2 linked regions of the Pelodiscus sinensis genome follow. The protein of the gene in region 1 interacts with the protein of each later gene in a biochemical or structural test. Links are inferred from orthologs where the notes say so. Each region holds a gene or a part of one and is shown on either strand. Other genes may lie near its edges.

Region 1 (7,120 bases):
TCCTGGGTCCCTGCCGTGGACAATGTTCCCCATTAGAATGTCAGACCCCCTCCTGGAGAACACTCCTCCTCAGGAGTCCTTCCACTGACAGGCTAGTGGGAAACTGAGGCAGGGGGTTGCCTAAAGCCATACAGCGAAAGCCAGACCTGGGAGTAGAACCTTGAGTCCCAGCTCTCATCACTAGGCCCTGTGCCCCGCCCAGGGCTGGCAGCGGAAGCCAGGTGCTCTGCTTGCAAGGCAGGACACCACCTTGGTTGGGTGATGACTCAGCCAGAGGCTCATTAAGAAACTGAGCCAGCTGGCTGGGGATGATACGCTCTTACATGCAGCAGCCCGGCGTTACTTTCAGTCCCTCCCCCCCCCCCCCCCCGGAAACGCTGCCCTTTCCCCCCCTCCGAGCAGCCCAGTGCCTGCCAGGAGGTCCCCATGGCGTGTTGCTTTCAGGTGGCTTTGCACCGCCCCCCTGCCCTAGAGCCGCTCAGACCCGCATGCTTAGAGAGCCCCCAAAACCGGCTATGGGGGCTCTACAGGAAAGATTCAGTTCAGAACAATCCAGCCAACCTGCGCCTGCCGTGGGGCGCAAGGCCAGGGCATCACAGCAACGGAGGCAGCTCCCTACGTCTTCTAAGGCCTCCATATGGCTCGCTGGGAGCTGCCCCCAGGATGGTAAGAGAACCAGGTCGGCAGACCTGGCAGGCCACTGTGACCAAGAGCTCAGGGCAGGGAGTCTGACCCAGCAACTCACTTCCATACATGGGGGGATGCTGCTTCTTCCCCTCCATACACAGGGAACCAACTGCAGGGGCTGGAAACCATCCCCCAGACTGGTCCCTAGCAGCCAGATCAGAGCCCAGGCTGGCTCCCGGGACCATGAGCTGGCAGGGTGGACGAGACCCATTATAATCTTCACCCCAATAGTTTGCCCTGGTGTTGCCATCCAAGGATCTGAGCCCCCTTCAGCACGAACCAATCAGCCCTGCAAGAGAGAATCAGCGCTCCTCCCCCTGTCATGTGGGGAAACTGAGGCACGGAGCCGGAGGAGGGGAACAATATGCCCACCCTACCCACCCCCTCTGTCACAGGACGTCATTGGGCGCGTGGGTGAGGCATCATTGCCGGCGTGGCAGAGAAGCCGGGTAAGATGGGGGCTCTTTTGAGAGGGTGGCAAAGCGCTAGGTCCCAGCGTCACTCTCAGAGTGAATTGTTCCCGCTGGCCATATGCACGGCTCAGCTGGGAATAAACCCACTGCTCTTTGCACCCTAGGCCCGCCCAGTTGTTTTGTTGCTGATTTCACCAGCCCACGGAAGAGTTTTGAAAGTGCCCCACCCACCAGCGAAACGGCCTTCCCGCCCCACAAACACACGCAACAGGTGCCCAGGGAGCGGGCGGATGGCCGGGCGCCAGGAAACGTTGGCCGTTCAAATAGCACCTTTAATTCCAAGTGCCTTAACTTGCCAAAGCCTGTTCATCAAGTGTACTCAAGAGAGAGGCCCCGCGGAGAGACCTAGAACTTGTAAAGCAAGATACCAAACAGCCCCAGACTTGGCCCTCCCTGCCCGGCCTTATCTGCAAGCATCTCGCTTTCCCGCAGCCGGGTGCACATTCCGACTCGGCCTCTCGGGAAAGAAACCCGAGGCTCTCCCGCATGCTCCCGTGTCTCGTTAATTTCTCCTGCTTAAACCCATAGGGGCTGTGATCTTTGTTGGGGGGGAAAGAAATGCGGAGGGGGGGGGATCCTCCGGGCCCTGACCCTGAGGCAGGGCCATACCAGCACAGACATGATGGTCAGGCCAGGGGCTTGACGTGGCACCTGGCAGATCAGCCTCCTTCCCGCAACCCCCAGAAATCAAAGTCACAAAGAGCCACCCCGGCAGCTGAAGGCAGAGGCGCCGCAAGCGCGAGGCTGATGATTCTCTTCCAAAGCCGTAACCAGTACAGTCCCGCCCCGGCACCCTGCGGTTAGTCCCGCACCTGACTCCCCTAGGAGCAGGCACCTGAATCCCTTTGAGACTTGGGGCCCTGATACTGCCATGAGCTCAGAGACCCAAGAAATTCACTCCAGGAAGGGTTCATGCGGGGGGGGGGGGGGGAGGTCAGACCAAGGCCAGTCCTGGGTAAAAGTGGCTAGTGACTCGGGGGGGCTGGTCACACCCTGCTGCAGCTCGTCGGCAGGTCCCCTCCCATCGGCTCCCTAGGCCACGACCTCCGGGCCTGACCTCTGCAAGGCACTTGCCCACGGTGCCTGTAACCTCCGGTACCAGTGCAGAGTCCAGCCCCCTGCTTCCCGGGAGTAACCTCTGGGCCAGATCCACACCCGCTGGGGGGCTGCCCGGCCCGGGGCCTGTGAGACCCCCTGTCCCGCCCTGCGCTCCCCAGACCCCTGCAAAACACCCAGCGCTAAACTCTGCCCCGGAGCAGGTGGGGGGGGAGGGGTAGTTCTGGTGCCTGTGGGGTGGGGGCAGGGACGGTCGCCCAAAGGGGCATGAGGGGGAATTACGATTTTGGGGGGGTTCGGGGGGGCCCTCTTGGGGCTCTGCCCCTCGGTAGAGCAGGTTCAAAAGCGGAGCCTGAAGCGCGAGTGACACCCGGGATACAAACACCCCCCCGCTGTGCCCGGCTCCGGAGCGACTCCGAAGCTCGCTCCTGCCTTGACTTACCCGCCTGGGAGGCCACGAGCTCCGGGCGCCAGAACAGGACCACGAGCCAGCAGGGGAACCCCGCCGGGAGCAGGATCCTCCGCATTTCTCAGCCGGGGCAGGCAGCCCGGACGGGCTAGGACATGCCGGGCAGAGGCAGCCGCCACCTGATCCCCGCTGGGGCAGGGAGAGGGGCTGGGCCGGGCCAGGCGGCGCCTCTGGCGGCCGGTGCCTCGGTCCGCGTCGGCAGCCCCGCTCCCGTGTCGCCTGCCCGGGCAGCCGCTTTGATCCGCGCTCGGGACACCCGCAGCTGCTGGAGCGGGTACAAACACACACACTCTTCATTCAGGAGTAGCTGCGCCGGCCGCTCATTGGCTGCCCGCCCCAGCCAATCAGAGACGGACCAGCTGAGGGGTGGCGGGGGACTGGGTCTGAGCCCCCTTGTGCCCCCACCCCTCGCCCCCTGGGCTGGGCAGGGCTCAGCCAGTCGCTGATCGTCGGGCAGGTTCCGGCTGCACCAGCCACTGGGTCTCTGCCCCAGGCAGCTTACAATGCCCCAGGCATGGGTCAGAGAAGAGATCCCGCCCTGCGTCCCTCAGCTCCTACCAGACAGTGCGGGGCCTACCTGGCATTGAAATCTCCAACTCCCGTGAGGATCTGGCCCCGGGGGCAGAGACAGGAAATGAACCCAGGTGTCCAAGTGGGGAAATAACCCTATACCCTTTGGCGGGGGAGGCAGACACAGCGGTGGAGGGGGGGCATCACAAGGGAGCATCAGAATTAGAACTCACGTACCCCAGCTACGAGCCTGGGGGCCAACCACGGGCCCATGCCCCTATCTTGCCCCTGCACTCCTTAGCGGGCCTCGCCTCGGCTTCCCACCCGCGTTTTGTTTCTGCAGTTGGCACATGCCACCCCCAAGCTCTGCTCTGCACCTGTCCCTGGTCGCTTGGCCAGTCCAAAACTTCTGCTCCCGCCCATCATCAGCTGCAGAGCACTGCACATCTACAGCTGGGCGCACGTCTACAGCTGGGCGCACGGGCATTGTGGACAGCTGGGGGGGGGCACGTTACAGATTCCAGAGTGGGTGGGGGGAACAATGGCCGCAGTCAGGCGCAGGCCTGAGAGGAAATGAGCTCAGAGATGGAGGCGGGAGGGGAGCTGGGTCGTCAGCAGCATGACGCACTCCTGGTGGGCGCCGGCAACTCCGCACCAGCCCCATGGCGGGCATGGAGCCAGCTCAGCAGCCTGGCAGAGCTCTTCAGGCAGCCCCCCCCCACATTACCAACATCCCCTCCGGAGAGTGGCGACTTGCCCCATTCAGTCCTTGGCACCCAGCCCAGGAAGTCTTAGGGGGCAGGGCCCATCTTTGTGTTTATACAGCACGAAGTCCCGTGACTGGCAGCCCTGGTCTGTGGCTAGATTGCGGGGGGCAGAGCAGGGCTAGCTGCGACCATAATAGACCTATTAAACAGCCTGCAGAACCCAGCACAGCGAGGGGTGGGTTAGTGAGTCGGGCACCAAGAGCTGTTACCATAATGCACCTAATATGAAGAACTGGTTTCAGCCCAACCGCTTCTTTTCATATGGGCCAATATCGGCCATTTTCGGGGACCATTTTCTAATCTCCTTCATGTTCAAGTAGGGACTTAGAGGTGAAAAGCCCCAGGAATCCCTGAGCAATAGGGCCTTGTAGCCCCCCCCCCCCACACCACTTCACTCTTTGCCATAGGGAGTTAGGGACAGTGGAAACACACCTGGTTATTTTTACCCCTTTTTAATCAGAGACTCATGTAGTCAGTCATTGGCCCCAGGTGAATTCTTGGCCCCGGTGAGTTGTTGTGGCAGAGAGTTCCACAGGCCAATCACACACTTTGTTGCCTTTTGTCCCTAGGTCACGAGAGAAAGTAAACAAAGGTTCCCGACAGCCCTTCTCTGCTATCATTTTCAGTCCCTGTGTCCTCTTGGCCAGGGCAGCAGTAAACAGACCCAAACCTTTTCTTTTTCAGGCCTCTAGGGTGGCTCTCTCCTTTCCCAAAGCTGCTGGAGCCTCCAGGAGACAGGACCCCAAACACGCCCCTAAAATTACCAGCCTGGTTGATCAGGATTTGGAGCTGAGCCTGCACCTGTTCCAGCTCTAGGGCGCCCCCCGGTGGCCATTTCAGGGACTTTCTCTTTAGGCCTAAGCTCTGGCTGCTGACAAAGACGCAGGCCACTAGGATGTCACATCATCTCCCCGCAACCTCCAGTTCCTTGCTGGGTCCCCAGCAATTCTCCCAGGAAACGGGGCATCAGCCTGGCAGAGCTCTTCAGACAGCCCCCCCCACATTGCCCCCCCCCCCACATTGCCCTCAGGGCTGGTGCAAAGGGGGCCCCGCCCAAAGATGAACTGGAGCACAGGAGTCTGCTCCCATCCTGCCTGCATCCCGGCTGGGCATGTTCTCCAGACACCCAACACTTCTGGGCCTAGGCTGCAGACAGCTATGGGAGGCCAGGCTGGTAGGGCAAGCAGCCAGACCCTGTCCTTAGCGAGAACAGGGGCCCACTTGGGCTGAGCTAGGCCTGCTTTGCTCCACTTGAACCCACTCAGTGCAATAGCACCACTTAGCCAAGCTCACTCCAGGAGCAGACCATGCTGCTAGATGGCACACGAGCTGGGCAAGTCCTCTTGCACCTACACACAGGGCTCTAAGTGCCAAGCTGGAGGAACCCTGGCTCCCGCTGGATACCCATGCACAGCCCATGGGAGACACGCTCCCTGCACGTGCCAACAGCTAAGGGACAGGACCGGTTGCCCAGCTTGTGCGGTTTCTGCAGCGTTGATTATTTAGCAACCAACAACCCTGACAAGGCCTCCCCAAGTCGTCCCGCAACAGCCACACTCTGCAATACACCCTCCACCCCCCAGTCTGCCACAGATGGGCCTTTGGGCCCCCCTGCCAGCCCAAAGGGTTCATTTTATGCTGTGAGGCCCATCCACCAATTGCCATGATCCCAGGCAGGGCCAGCCCCTGGCATGCATTGAGCCCCCCAACAGGATGCAGCAGAGTTCTGTCCTACAGTAACTGCATGCCTCAGTTTCCCTGAGCACTGTACTAATCCCTAGCTCAGGGCTACTCAACACACAGCCCACGGGCTGCCTGTGGCCCACAGCCTGCTTATGGCCCACAATACAATTTGGCTACGTCCAGATTGGCATGGTTTTCCACAAATACTTTTAACGGAAAAGTTTTTCCGTTAAAAGCATTTGCGGGAAAGAGTGTCTAGATTGGCACGGACACTTTTCTGCAAAAGCACTTTTTGTGGAAAAGCGTCCGTGCCAATCTAGACGTGGCTTTGCGCAAGAAAGCCCCAATCACCATCAGGGCTTTTTTGCACAAAATACCGCGTTGTCTACACTGGCCCTCTTCCGCAAAGCATTTGCACAAGAGGGCTTTTGCCCAAACGGGAGCAGCGTAGCATTTCCGCAAGAACACACAATCTTACATGAGATCGTCAGTGTTCTTGCGGAAATTCAGGCAGCCAGTGTAGACAGCCAGCAAGTTTTTCCATAAAAGCAGCTGCTTTTGCAGAAAAACTTGCCAGCTAGACGCAGCCATCAGGTTTATACAGGGCCCACAGCGGGGATCCTTTGAACATGGCTCCACTGGGAACACACTCCACAATGGCAAATCAATATAATGGTCTTTTGTCGATATGCATTTTAGTAAATTCCTGGACTGTCATGGCTCATTAAAAGTGGTCATAGGGGTGGAAATCGGGTAAATATCGCATTTTAATATCAGAACTGACATAAATGGGGCCTGCATGTTGTGTAGTCTTGCCTGGCAGTGTGAAAGCTATTTGAATATATTTGCATGTATAGGCAACCACTCTTACGTTGCTGCGTGTGTTGTATCATTGTGGCCCCCAGGGCTTCCAAAGTTGAGTAGCCCTGTCCTAGATAGTGATGGGAATTTCAAGAGTGACTTCCATGGAGGGAGACTGCCCCAGCCTCCCTCGCCCCCTCCCCAAAGGCTAATGCCCTCTGTGACTTGAACCAGAGGGGGTACCAGGTGATACCTTTTGCCAGGGAAGCAGGACAAAGGCTGGAGGAGCAGCCTGGGACCAGGACCTGGGAGCAAGTCAGCAGCAGATGGCTTGGGAGGCAGGAGGGCCACAGCCCTGGCTCCGGGCCTCCTCTCCCCCCTCCACCGCCCAAGACGGATGGTACCGGCTGCTTCTGGTTCCTGTGCTGACAAGTCTGTTCTATGGTGTGTCCTTGTGGACTAATATTTTCTGTTCTATCTGCTGAGTTGCATCTAACTGTGGCTAGGAGTGCAGGCGCCTCTGCCCCACACTTTGGGGACACAGCCAGTGAGCTATGGAGAGACTCCTGCCACCCCGGAGAGCATCTAATGCTCCGCTTCTTCCTCCCACAGTAACACTGTCTTGCCACAAGCTCCCAGCAAGTGGAAGAATCTGGTGCCCTTTCTCTCCCCCC
Region 2 (7,341 bases), on another chromosome or scaffold:
CTGCTATGGCAAAAGAATCAGCCCATCCTACATATGATGGTGATTTGTCCAACATCATACAAAATATACAAAGGGGAAAATACAAAGGGGGAAATCCCTTATTGGCCTCAAGAGCTCTCTTTCCCAGGTCCAATGATTCTCCAATGGTCTTTCATAGAGGTAAATCATGATGGCTATGAACAGTCAAGAAAAGCAAATGAGAAAGGAGATCATCCTGATGATTAGAGCATTCACCTAGGATATGGCTGCCAAAGTTCAAGTCTTTGCTCCAATGACTATTTGACGATTTATACATGAAGGCATGCTTTAATAGGAGAGACATAGTGACCTTAGGTATATCTGCTGATTAACAGCCCATCTTCCATACCCACACTGCTTTTGTTAGTCATGCTAGGTAGAATAAAGCTGTCACATCCATGCTACCCTCATACTTTCACTTGCAGTATAGACATATCCTCTAAATTAACATGGACGAAGGCACAAAGAAGCCATGGGAGAAGATCTACAGCTCTGCAATCCTCAAAGCTTCAGAGTTTTGGGCCATGTCTAGACTACAGAGTTTTTCCTGGGATATCGGAGGTATTGCAGAAAAACTCCGCCACGTCCAGGAAATGCGTCTGCTCTTCTGACATTTTTTTGCAGAAGAGCAGATGTGCTCTTTTGGAAGCTCTGTTTTCCTCCTTCCACGAGGAAGAAGGGCTCTTCTGAAAGAGGAGATTTTTCTGAAATTTGGCCCAGTGTAGACAGGCCAAATATCAGAAAAACCTCTTCCGACAAAATTTTCAGAAAAAGGTACGCAAATTGCCAAAAAAAAGCGGCAGTCTAGACATAGCCTTGGTTTGTTTAGCAAACAAAAGTATGGATGCTTTTCAAATTCTAGAATGAGCAAAGCTGGGCTGAAACTCCCTTAGGAGCAAGATTTCCACTGAGGCTTCATCTAGACTACGGAGTTTTATCGGAAAGAGTTATGCAAATTGCTCTCCACAATTTGCGTACCTTTTTCCGATTGTTTTTTCGAAAGAGGTTTTTCTGAAATTTGGCTCATCTACACTGGACCACATTTTAGAAAAAACATCCTCCTTTGGAGGAGCCCTTATTCCTCATGAAAAGAGCAATACAGGGGCTTCCAAAAGAGCACTTCTGCAAAAAATGTCAGAAGAGCAGATGCATACCCTGGATGTGACAGAGATTTTCTGGGATACCTCTGGAAAACTCCATAGTCTAGACATAGCCTGAAACTCCTCGCATGTCCAACACCTATTTGTGCCTGAACTGCTGAGAAATTGTCCTGTCCCCTGAAATATTGGTCCTTACCCTTCCAGTCCTGTCCACATCTAGCAAGTCAAGGGGAGCACAAAAAAATTTTTTTTAATTAAAAAAAAGCTGAATCTGATTTTTCACAAAACAAGTTTGAAGTGAAGTCATGGAATCCAAAATGATCCACCCACGTGTATTCACAGTTGTTCTTTCCAGGGTTTCCACACAAATCAATTGCATTTTTCATTTAATAATATGATAATATTGAATAGCTGTACTGCTTGGTTACTTCAGTTTATGCTAGTGGAACTCCACTTACACTGGCAGATACACTTGTGAAACTGATGAATCATGCCTTGCAAGTGTGACAAGCATAGTTCAGCTCGCAGATTAATAGGAGAATAATATGCATTTATTAACATTGTAATTGCTGAATTCAACACTCAAACTTTGAAGTGGATCAGACCAGCAATCAATTAAAAGGAAATTTTCAACTTTGGTTAGAAGCCATGTCAGCTTTATTCTGCAATGCTAAGAATTCATCAATAAAAGTTGCAAAGTGCACAGAAAAGTAGTCAAAGGACCTCCAAGGATACCCAAACCTTTCCTTTTATTACATTTTGTGAACAAATTAAATGATATTTTTTATTTTCCACATATTATCTGGTGTTCCATCAGGCAACTGACAAGCTGTTTTCTGTAATGAGGCAACTGGTCCATAGCCGGTGTGAACACATGTATTTGCTGCTCACAACTTTTGCCTGGTAGGTGATCCTATGGTTACAATGGGTGACGTGCACCCACATAATGCTCAAGTTGCCACAATCACAGATACACTGGCTTCATTAATGAATTGCTTTTTATAGCAGTACAATAGCTTTATGCAATATCCCAGAGGGAAAGAGTCTTTTAATTGCTTTCTTGTTTACTTACTAAACCACACAATTTAGCAACCCACAATGGCCCTCCCTGTGGCTACTGTGGATTAAAATTATCCTGTACATTCTGCATGTGAGAGTTTGGACCCGGACTACTGGAAACTAACATGGATTTTTCCTCTTATGTACACACATAATATTCAGGGAATGGGATGGATTTCAGCACCTCAAACTTTGGCAGGACTTCTCAGTTTATTTTCTTTAATTAAAGCATATTTGCTGCACATATCCAACCTTGTTATACAGAACCACATAACAAATAAATCGTGTGCAGACTGTAGGATTTGTGAGTGGGAAATAAAAGACAATTTCAGCTTTAAACAGTGCCGGGAGCCCAAAGTAATCTGATACGTTCCTGTTCTCTCCCCTCAACCCCCAGCCTCACCTATATTAGTTCTTTGGATTTGTATACAGATTCCACATACCTGAATCATGATCTCAGCCTTGTCTTGTATCAAGTAATGATGATCCAGTGGCACTGTGCAAAATTCATTCCCTAGGCAAGCCACGCTCACTCTACAGCCCATAAGGCACTATTGGCATCTGGTATAACTGCAGCCTCAGCCTTTTTAATCCAGGTCAGTGAACGGGACTCATCAACTCCACTTCTCTGGTCTCTTTCGAAGGTAACAACCCCAGATTTGCTGTGCGCCTGCCACCTTTTGCTGCCTGCACTTGACCTTTTTTGCTTCTTGGAGCAGTGTCAAGCTGAAGCCCTTTTGTTGTGCCCGGTTCTGCTGCTCTCAAAATCCCTGTCTTTCTGCCGGTTCTCTTTCCTTATCAGAATCCCATGCTGACCACATTGTGCCCCTTCTGAGGCAGGGACAACAAATGAGAGTGCTAGTGTCTAAAGCTATGTCTCCAGCTGGGGAAACTTAGCCTTTCCTATCCTGGTGGGAGGGTTTTTGGATCACTGAATGGTATGGAGACAATAACAAGGAAACTAATAACTTGGAAAACAGTCTGTTTTGAAGGGTGTGCTCCTTTTGGAAAGAAGAAAAGAGCTATCCAGCAATCTGTCACTAAGGCAAGCTGATAATACCAAAGTAATTCGAGAGCAAATAATGGTTGTTTAAAGTCGACACTAAGAAGGACCTTGAAAGCACAATTTTAGAAGGGGAGAATCTGTAGGAATTTCCTGCTTCTTTGTGTAGTCCGTCTGCCTGTGTACATTAATTAATTCCCCTTGGCTTTAACATAACTTACTTTTCCTGCCTGCAAAATGATGCACGCTGTTAATGGGGAGGAAGAATAGTCAAGTGGTTCAGGCAAAACACCGGCAGCCCAGAGACAGGGGTTTGAGTTCTATTTCTGCCAAAGACAAGCATGATCTTGTGCAAACTTTCAAAGGGGAATGTAATTTTGGAGGTCTTAATTTTTTGCATCCCAAACTTTAGAAAACAAAAAGCCTAATTTTCAGAGGTACTGAGTGCTGGCAGCTCCCACAGAAATCAATCAGGAAATAGATGTCTACAGCTGAGCCCTCAAACTCGATTACATTATTGTGAAACTCTGCTCTCTACTCTTTCTTTATCTCAGCTTCTTCCCCTGTAAAATAAGGATCATACAGAATATAATACTTCCCTTCCTCACTGGGGTGTTGTGAAATATAAGTTGTGAGACATTCTGATACCATGAAGATGTCTGTAACTGAGTGGTGGTGGGACTTTGTGATATATTTCCAAAACTGATAATCTTAGAGTCCTATCGTCAGGCCCACAAAGAAGAGGGACAATGGGGGAAGCTACCCTGAGGCCCAGTGATGTAAAAAGGCCCAGGACTCCCAGTCACCATTGTGATGGCGATGGCAGTGGCTGCAGCATTGGGTCCTTTAAATTGCCTTTGTGTCCCCAGGCAGCCTGAGGCCCTGCCCCTTCTGGGGGCATGTAGCTGCTCTCCCCCCCACGACCACCACATACACACACCTTGCTCAGGGCCTGGCAAAGTCTATTTGTTGCCGTGCCTATCAGCAAAGGGCCCATCAGTTTTGCCCTTTCCCACAATGCCCTTTCCCAGAAAAGGTAATACAAGTTGTACCTCCCTTAACTAGTACTCCCTGATCCAGCAACCACAGAGCCCAGGAAAAGTGAGGTCTGGCGGTGGGGCAGGAGCGTGGTAGGGGACACCAGCAACCCAGTGTGTGTGTGTGAGGGAAACCGGTGGCACAGCAGAGAGTTCTGGCCCACCATGGAGCTCCAGCCTAGGCAGTGGCCAGGGAGCTCTGTCCCCAGCCCTCTGCCCCAGCCTTGGCTGTGCATCTCCAGCTCCAGTCGCGGAGCCAAATGGCTGTGGAGTTCTGTCCTGGCTGTGGAATTCCAGCTGTGGTGGTCTGGCCTGGCAGCAGCAGGGCTGGCAGCATCTAGAGAGCCCTGGGGAGCTGGGACAGCAGCAGGGGTAGGCTGGAGCACAGGGACCTTCCCTGGCACAGCAAATCCCCTAGTTTAGGACCATTCAGGTCCTCAGGGTGCCAGACCAGTGAGGTCCAACCTGTACACACCAATCATTTATAAACATTCAAACTGAGCTGAAATTCCATCATTTAAAGGTTCAAATCAAAATAACTTTTGTTTCCTTTTCTAATTAAAAAATCCTGTTTAATTGCTTTTTATGTTATTGTTTATTTGGCTTGCAATAGTGCCTAGAAGACCTGAGTTCAGAGCTCCATTTTCTTAGCCTTCTGTAAGGTAGCTATAGTCACTCAGCCTCACACCTCATAAAATGACTTCAGGCATAATATAATTGCCTAGACGTGCTCTGAATGTCATGCCTTTTGCTTGATTGAGTCCAGTATCCCCACAGAAATAAATATGGCTGTCTGTGTTGGGCACCTCTAACATGTTCTACCATCAATTTGGACTTTCCACCAGATGTTGGAACTTATGCATGTGTTGACCGTTTGTCAAGGCAGCAGTTGCAAAGTACACTGAGGCAGTTTCCGTGGTGATTTAGGCAATGAAAATAGGCCCTCAACAACATATCCCTAGTTGCAGCTGCAGGTTCTGGTCACAGAGACTGACTCCCCAAGGGGGTTTTATCACCAGACAAAGGAATAGATTGAAGGAGGCAAGGCAAAAAGGTTGGGTTATTTGTTTGTTTGGGGGGCTGGGAGGGTTATTGGTACAAATGTATTACCGAGTAAGCCTTTCATTCTTAGTGTATACACAATGCATCTTAGGTGGTACATGACTAGGACTCCTCACCCAATTTGATCTGTTGGGTGGATCATTAGCAGGTACTGACTGGGAGTGCAACATGAACACTGAGCCATGGAAAGACTCAGATCTTGAGGAGCTTGGTTGTATGGTACCATAATAATGAAATTAACTATGTTTCTTGTGAAACTTCTTTGGCTCAAAAATCTTTAGTTATCTTCAGGTCTATTGAAATCCTATTATAGGAATACTAGAAGGTTTACCCAGGGTGGCTCAGGTTCTTAAGTCAAATAATTTTTGGTTTTCTTCATTTAAATCATTGTTCTAGGTTGGGGCTGGGGTAAAGGGTTCAGTATGCAGGCTTCCCTGGGGAGAGAGGAAAACCTAGCCCTCTCACACTGCAGCAGCTTGGGTCCAGGAAAGAAGTGCCTCTCCATGGCTTCTACAACTCCAGGGGGCAAAGCTGGGGTAAGGGTGCATGTGCCCTGGCTGGGGGACAGACAGACAAACTCTCTGAAATATATAGTAGACAACTACTTTTTTCCACCCCTGCCCCCCGTTGGCCCAATGGGGTTATAACTTTCCTAGCACCCATCTCTGGCCCCTTGCTGCCCACCTGTGGTCAGTCTGCACTATAACTCCCTCTTGCCAAAGCCCTCCCTTTCAATTTTATAGAAACAATTGAATTTCAGGCATATCCCATTATCCTGGCACAACCGAACCCTGACCTTGCCTTAAATTATGATGATGAAGTTGCAGACCAAATGTGATGGTCCTAGCTCTCACCGTTTAGGAGTTCTTGAACAAACGGACTCGCAGGTGGACGAACAGACAGATGCACATTTCTAAAATATATAATAAGAAATATGTGGAGGTCACTTTTATATGATTCTCCACCAGCTAACTGGTGAAGTGTCCAATCCAACACCCAGCTGGAATCAAGTCATCTGAGATTCTCCAGACTGACAAAGAACATCCAATCCCATTTACCAGAAATGAAAAAGGGCCTAATGTGTTAAAAGAACAAGGAATTGAGGAGCCTACACTTTTGTGAGGAAAGACTCGTGTCCAGTAAGATTAGTCTGACAGGATAGCAGTTCATATTTATATTCCCTACATAGTAACTGATGATATGGGGTTCATCGTGTAGCTAAAGTATGGTTGACACCTTCTGAAGTCATTTCTAGTATCTTATTTCAATTAAGTTTTCACTTTCATTTCTTTACCACTTTGGAAACACTACACATTGGCCCAACCACCATTCAAAGATGGCCTAAATTTTTTCCCAATGGTTGGCAAACCTCAGTGAACCAGACAAACTGCAGGAGAAGTAGATTTAGATCCCATTTCTACAAGGTGCTGGGCCATGCATGTGAGATGCTGCAGGTCCTCAATTCCGATTAATCAGGAGCTCAAGTAGCACATCATGGCATAGGATCAGGCTCCTGGTCTTTATAATTTGGTAGCCATACATGCACATTTTAAAGGAAATATCAATAAGCAAATTTACTTAAATGTATATGCCAGCTGGACAACATTGTTGATGAGTTGCTTCTTCTTTAAGAAATCTGTTTAGAGTTTCTTGATTTCATGCATTTACATAACTATATAATAGTCGTCCAATCTATCTATATATTTTAGAAATGTGCACAAGTCTGTCAATGAGTCCATTTGTTCAAGAACGCTTCCTAAACAGTAAGAGCTAGGACCACCAAATTTAGTCTGCAGCTTCCTCTTAGCTTAACTTAAAGCAAGTTTGGTTGTGTCAGGGAAACGGGAGTGCTAGAAATTGGACTGTTTTCCACAACATGGAAAGGGAGGGGGCATAGCGGGAAGGGACACGATATTGAGAGTATGCACTGGAGGCAGCAAGTGCAGGGGAGATCTATACAGCATATTGGCTCCAGGGGGCAGCTACACCACCAAGGGAATGGGCAGCAGTGCAGGTGCTAACCATCTTGCCTTCCACCAGACCAACTAAGTAGCCCCCTTGC

What was found. The genes of interacting proteins can lie anywhere in the genome.
Region 2: the proteins of ERBB3 (region 1) and TNS3 form a complex in vitro, tested with the Homo sapiens proteins (2 studies listed by BioGRID and IntAct, with this or other methods). The link is inferred for Pelodiscus sinensis from reciprocal best matches to the Homo sapiens genes ERBB3 and TNS3.

The regions. Positions count from the first base shown.
Region 1 is NC_134729.1:4,212,994-4,220,113, forward strand, and holds the start of ERBB3 (receptor tyrosine-protein kinase erbB-3), read right to left. Parts: upstream 3,004-7,120; 5' UTR 2,744-3,003; coding exon 2,659-2,743; intron 1-2,658. UniProt on the Homo sapiens protein: Tyrosine-protein kinase that plays an essential role as cell surface receptor for neuregulins.
Region 2 is NC_134712.1:158,286,838-158,294,178, reverse strand, and holds the start of TNS3 (tensin-3), read right to left. Parts: upstream 3,086-7,341; 5' UTR 2,723-3,085; coding exon 2,621-2,722; intron 1-2,620. UniProt on the Homo sapiens protein: May act as a protein phosphatase and/or a lipid phosphatase. Involved in the dissociation of the integrin-tensin-actin complex. EGF activates TNS4 and down-regulates TNS3 which results in capping the tail of ITGB1.